2 linked regions of the Tribolium castaneum genome follow. The protein of the gene in region 1 interacts with the protein of each later gene in a pairwise test. Links are inferred from orthologs where the notes say so. Each region holds a gene or a part of one and is shown in the gene's direction. Other genes may lie near its edges. The genes, in order: hth and uncharacterized protein LOC659152.

The links.
Region 2: the proteins of hth (region 1) and uncharacterized protein LOC659152 interact in a two-hybrid assay, tested with the Drosophila melanogaster proteins (2 studies listed by BioGRID). The link is inferred for Tribolium castaneum from reciprocal best matches to the Drosophila melanogaster genes hth and Cpr100A.

The regions. Positions count from the first base shown.
Region 1 is NC_087396.1:11,400,012-11,403,843, reverse strand, and holds part of hth (homothorax), read left to right. Parts: intron 1-1,139; coding exon 1,140-1,334; intron 1,335-3,832. UniProt on the Drosophila melanogaster protein: All isoforms are required for patterning of the embryonic cuticle. Acts with exd to delimit the eye field and prevent inappropriate eye development.
Region 2 is NC_087397.1:3,976,369-3,979,277, forward strand, and holds uncharacterized protein LOC659152, read left to right. Parts: upstream 1-1,460; 5' UTR 1,461-1,597; coding exon 1,598-1,609; intron 1,610-1,659; coding exon 1,660-2,238; 3' UTR 2,239-2,330; downstream 2,331-2,909.

The DNA.
Region 1 (3,832 bases):
AAAAATATGGAAATTGCGCGCGGCAGAATGCGGTCCGATCAACCGGATGGCCATCGCGCATCGCTTTGCATTCGCAGCCGCATTTAAATTGCTAAAAGGGGACACTATCGAGCGGTCCATCTCTCTCGCAGCGTTGCGATATTATAATCTTGTTGCAAGGTAAATGCACATAACCGGTTACCCCAGACAGACGACGTCTTTGCCGGCCATCTTGAAACGCGGACGAATGCAAACGAGCGAGCGAGGTGGGTCCCCGAGGCAACCCCTGTATACAACCCATATCTAATCTATGTACAGCGGATCCTAATTTACGGCCTTATTCCATGTCATTAAGAGCATACGGGACGGACACGTTTTTAGGAACTTCGGACCCGACTTATCTCCGCGGACCGATAAGGAAATGTGCCTCTGGACACCTAACTTTGCCGACCAACAAAATCATAACGCTCGCTCTATGCCCATTGGGCAACACGAAAAAACCTGCCCATTATTTAGACCACTATCGTGGCTCTAGAATAAATGTACCACCAACGAGCACGTGTAGATGGCACTGAGCATTCAAATCACAACATTATGTTCGTTCCATTTGAGTTAAGTGCTGTCCGAATATGCAAAAGCAAACATAATCCCATTATTATTATTGTATTTGTGCATACAGCACTGCACCCTAAACGAAACCGGTCGCTGTAGGGAGAAAAATATCGCCCATTGTGTTTCTGTTATGCAGTTTACTCTCTTTTTTAAACACCATCGTGGTACCAAAAAAGGAAAATGTAACAACAACAACAAAATAAAATCTTTCTCTGCCCTTATTCACTCTGCCCGAATATCCCATTGGGATTTGCGATATACCTGTAGTGAAAACACTTGGTCGCTGGAGTGTGTAAAAGTAGGATGGGTCTGTTTGGACCATTAATCTTGCGTTTATTAACAAACGCATTCAGAATTAGTAGTGTGTGTTCGTTCTTTCGGAACGGTTTTTGGAAAAGAGGCAAAGCACGCTCGAAGGCCGCTCGTCTCGCTATGCAAATCAGTTTCATCTCGCTTTCATACGATGTGCCCGGCCGTTATTCTTGACCGGCTTTTTTGCGATATGTAAATCGACGTCGAGCCCGAGCTGATTGTTCTTTGTGTTGCAGGTCCATGAGTTGTGTGATAATTTCTGCCATCGGTATATCAGTTGTCTGAAAGGCAAAATGCCCATCGACTTGGTGATAGACGAGAGGGACGGAGGCAAGCCGCCCGAATTGACGGGATCGACGAATGGAGATGGTGGTGCTAGGAGTAACGCGGATTCGACATCACACACGGACGGTGCGAGTACGCCGGATGTCGTAAGTACCCATTTTTCCCAATCAAAACCATTCGCGAAGAGGTCGAAGACGTTCGTCCATTTGATCGACGTCGGGCGCGACGGCAGGGGACCGCCATTGAGTGTATTAGCTCATTTTCGTGATGCTGTTTGCGAAAGCAGGGGGAGCTCAAAGCAGGGAGTTTTGCTGGTAATTGGTGTCAATTTAGACTGACGCATCGTCGATGCGAACGAGGGATCGAGTTACATGTCCCCCCCGCATTGTGGTCTACAATCGGCTTCTTTTCGACTTGAATAAATCGCTACAGTGCTGTTCGATTCCTTTTGGACTACCTGTGACCGGAGCGAACCGCGGGGAGTATCAGACCGACAAAATAAAATCATCGTGAACAACACGGATGAGAAATGTGGCGTCTCGGTGTCGCTCCACCAGATGCTTATCGACTTTGGAAATTTCAGAGTTGTCGAATTTCGGCGCTGAGAACTCCCTGACAGCAACTATCCGAATTGCGTCTCCACTTCGGCTATTCTCAGATTGTTCAGAGGCGGGGCGACCGAACAATATCTTTTTGTTTCTCCGTTATGCGATGCATCGTGTCTTGTTGTATCATGTCGGACAATTAAGATGTGAGATTTGATTTCAAGGAAGCGATACGTCGAAGACGGGTTAGATTGTTTTGTTCGAGGTGTGACGAGGCAAAAGAGTGTCGCGCCGCTGAGGGTGTAAAAATAGCGAATGTACGGTATGCGGCTGGTGAGTGAAAGCCAGGTTGTGGTTTGGAAGGCGCTCAAAATGAGAATACTTCATAGCACGGATGGCACCGTGCTGCCAATAACGTCTCACGAGCACGGTTGTCGTCTGAGCGGGGTATAATTAACGCGGTATTTATAGTGCAAGGGCAACGATCAAGCGTGTATCATCGGTCGAAGAGCACGGCAGTTTTGACGGCATCTGCGAATTCCCGCCACAAGCGTCTCCCGCCGTATCGCCGTTTCCTTTCCTTCCTGATACAATTTGCATCGTCTCGGAATCACTTAGACGGAGGAAGGCGTCCCCGTGCGATGCTCTACGCGCCGCTTTTATTGGGGCATTATCATTTTATTGACTTCAAATAGCTTGTAAAACGCAGAGCTGCGATTCGAGAGCGAGAGCGGGAAGCGATTCCCTCGAAACGGCCTAATTCAGGAGACACTGATGGCTTGTAATCGCCCAAAGAGTTTCCCTTTCGCAAACAGGTGGATTTGTTCAATTTATTATGCGGCCGCAACCTGATACAGCTGCCGTTCCCGTCAAATACATACATCTAGGCGGAATTTTTCTCGGTCGATCAATGCTGCTGGGGGTGTTTTCGCGGCAAATGGCCACGACCCGACTGAGTTATGTGTTGCCGAGCCAGCAGAAGGAAGAGGCCGAGACGGCGGCGGGTCCATCTATCAATCCCGGTCCTTGGCAGGATTGTTTCCTGCTGCATCAAACTAATGGTCCCAGTGGCAAAAGTAAACTTCGCACGAGAAACAGTTTAATGGAATCCAGGGCCGCGGGGACCATTAAAATGAAATAGTGCGCGCGGACCGAACGGACGCCGTTCTTCTCTTCCCACCCGCCGGAATCAATCTCTCCTAAGCAGAACGGATGGTTATTGTTTGCTCCATCGAGTAACGGCCCATTAGCCCGCCGACTTCGCCCTTAATGGACCGTGATGACGGACCACTGATATTGCGATCGAATATTATGCAGGTGTCGCCAAATACCTGCTCGGTTCAGGCAAGGAGACATATATCAAGATGCAAGCGCCGCGACGCTGTCGCGAGAACGCCGGCTTGCCGCCAATAAATCACCACGACAAATTTAATTATCCTGCAGTCTGCGATAAGACCAGCCGGGTAGAGACTTGTCCTACACAGAGGAAACAGTCGTAACCCGATACGTCCTATTGAAATCAAGGTACACACACGAGATCAGCGAGCCGGCGGCTGTGTTACACCCTTCGGGAAGGGAGTGCGTGCGTGTGCGTGCGTTGGTTCCTGTCAAGGAGAGATGTCTTCAGCAGGCGAGCTTTGGCCGGCCACCGCACGTTGTTTTTGTTTGAACGTCACTGCCAGATGTTCGCAATTTGGTGGTGGTTATTATTTGTTTGTACTCCCCCATTGCATCGCGCACTCATTCAACTTACTTCTGCACGCTCCTCCAAAAGCCAACGTTAAATAACCGATGTTGTGGCTTGACGACAATCCCTTTCATGACCAACAAAAGGGTTTTTACCCTTCACGAGTCTTAATCAAAGTTAAAACACCGTTTTTATTTTTGCTTTATATTTAATTGCGCATCAAATTGGAACGCATAACGAGCGCATCACCGAAATTGATTTTCCTGTCGACAAAGAATAATTTCTGGCAAGAACTAGCACCAGGAATTTCGCAATTTCGCTCGGAATCTTCCCAGCGGGGCGCCTTCTGCTGCTGACGTTCACTGCAGGAGTTGACCTTTTTGCTCGGGGAAAGTATCCGTCTTTGTGTGCG
Region 2 (2,909 bases), on another chromosome or scaffold:
CGCAAATGAAAATCATTTACGAAACACTACATAGACATTGTCTCTTTCAAAATCTAGCATTTAAAGCCAAAAACGAAACGTAACATTACTAAAGATCTCATTTAAATTATTTACACTCTTTTATTGTACGCCCATTATTTAAAATAAAGAGAATAGTAAATGCCAAGCGTGTTTGCAAAAGTTTTGGTGCATTTACAAAAAATATGGAAAAAAATTACCTTCAAAAACCAACCTGAACAAACCGTGAGATATATTTGATTTTTACAACATATGACACTAATTGAACAAACATTTATTCCACTATTTCTGTCACACAATAAACGCAATATTTGTGTGCGTGTGCTCACCTTTAACCTCCAGTCAAGCCCCCAGTAATCATTTTTCTAAATTCTTCTTTAAATATCTTATCGCTACGTATTCAATTAGAGACATAAAAATTTTAATTACAATTATTTACAACACAATAAATTCACTTCATTCGAGTATTTCGTGTAATGCCAAGAAAATAATACAGTAATTTTGCATAAATCATTTGCAAACTGGTGTAATAAAATTTTCAGAATGCTCATCTTCCATTTATTCTAAGAAACAACACGTTTTCTGAACTTCTATTTTCCGATTCGACGACTCGTGTGCACTTTATTATTTTCGTGAAATGCCAATAAATTACATCAAACAATAATAAAGACGAAGCTGCATTTAGATATCGCGCTATTATTACCGAAGCAACAAAATTCTAAGTGTAACATTTGTTATTTACACTACACCGAGTGCAGAAACATAAATTTCTGTGCAGATGAGAGCATCACGACATCGAGTTCAATCGTGACCCGATTATATAAGCGCATCCCGATCTTATCGTTACTTAAACGCAATAATAGTCACGTATTTTTCGCGCAAACAGGGCCGAATTGACTATTCCTGCTGGGCGTGATCGCCCGGATTCTGGGCCACCGGATTACCTTCCTGTTTGCTGACCCTCAACCAGGTCAATAGACTGTTCACCGGAACCTGCTGATGCGAGTTCGCATATTTCTTGCGTAAACACAGCGAGAAATTGTTATTTTTCGTCAGAACAACTGACATTTCAACAAGGTTCATGCAACAAGAGTGTGACGCTATGCTCGCTCCAAGCCTGAAGAGTTGCAAATGCCCTCAAACTTTAGGAAGTCCGCGCCAGGAGTGATCTAATTAGCACATATTTCACATGCGGTCGCGTGAAATTAATCAATTCTGGCGCAATCATTTCAGTGACGAAAGTTTGGAAAATGAGGCCGAAGACTTTGGGACTTTGGAAAAATTTTGATTAGCCCAAGCCATTTTTTTGATGTCATTAAGATTAAAACGTGCATGATTTGCATGCAAATGGTGGATGAGTGGGTTTAACTGATCGTTTCAAAGTTTGGGCTTTGACTTCATCTCTCCGAATCTCGGAATCGCGCGGTGGCATCTAAATATGAACAAAGCTCAGTTCTTCACAGGGAGTGTTCCAGGGTCGCACTTACCAAGGTTGTATGGCAGTATAAAACCTAACAGAGCGCCGTGAGAGGGCAGTAGTCGTAGTTTGCCTCTTTGGTAGACCATCAGTTCCACTATCATGAACAGAATAGTGAGTATCAAAAATTTGGGTGGACCCTAAGTGTTTTTCCAAAATTTTAGTTCGTCTTTGCTGCTTTTGTGGGCGCTGTTTTCGGACAGGGCTACCATGGGGACCCCCAAACTGCGGCTATCCTGAACGAACAGAGGTACCTGAGTGGTGATGGTAAATTCGGGGCCCAGTACTCCCAAGAGGATGGGGTGCAGTTCAAGGAGGAGAGTGACGCTGATGGCACCCGTCGGGGGACCTACTCCTACGTGGACCCCAACGGCCAAAGACACACCGTGAGCTACACTGCTGGCAAGCACGGCTTCCAAGCCACTGGGGATGGCATCCCCCAACCCTTACCGACGACCTTACCCGTGGCCCCCCAGCCCCAGTACACCCCCCTTCCCCAGTACAACCCCCCGGAGTACCGCGACCAGTACCAGCCCCAGTACAGGCCGCAGCCCCAGTACCAGCCCCAGCCCCAGTACCAACCCCAACCCCAGTACAACCCCCAGCAGTACCAAGCCCAGCCACAATACAGGCCCCAGCCCGTCTACACGACGACTCCAGCCCCTCACAGATTTTACCCTCCTGGAAAACTGTCGCTTAATAGGTCGCCAGATGGCTTCAGTTATAGTTTCCAGAAGGCTTAAGTCGTAGTTAGGGATCATTGTCGCGTAGCTTAGGTTCACAAGTGTCCATTAATGTATTATATTCATAATAAAATTTTTATTTAAATGTTGAATATTGTTTGCTTGGCAACGAGACAAAGAAATGAAAGTGCAGTAAAGTAGCCTTGAAGGTACCTGCTCTTGTTAAAGTTGGATTTGCATCATAAGGTTAAATATATGGGCTGGTTCCGGATTTACGAGAGTCTAGACGGAAATGCCGAAAATGAACACTTAATTATTTCTCAAGCAAAATTATGCCGGATCTTGCGACAATAATTTCGTCCCAGATTGGGAAATTAAAAAATTGCACACTGCTAATAGTGTTTGGTATTTATTTCCGTTTTTTTCCCCAACATTCTCTTGCCCACCTTATCTAATCAATCTAAATATAATACAGTCACTAAAGGTTAAAAGGATTTTTATTCAAAATACTGAGAATGTAACCTTTAAAAATCGAAATGATCTTGAACCTGAAATAAGAGTACGGCAGTAAGGTGTGGTTCCTCTTAAAATACAGTTTTAAGAACAAGTTTATTTCAATGTGAAATGACATACGTGGTGTTTTGCCATTGCCAAAACAGTAATGTGTTTGATACGAGAATTACCTTTTTTGTTTAAATTAATTAGCCATTTTGAGAAATTTCGTATACAAA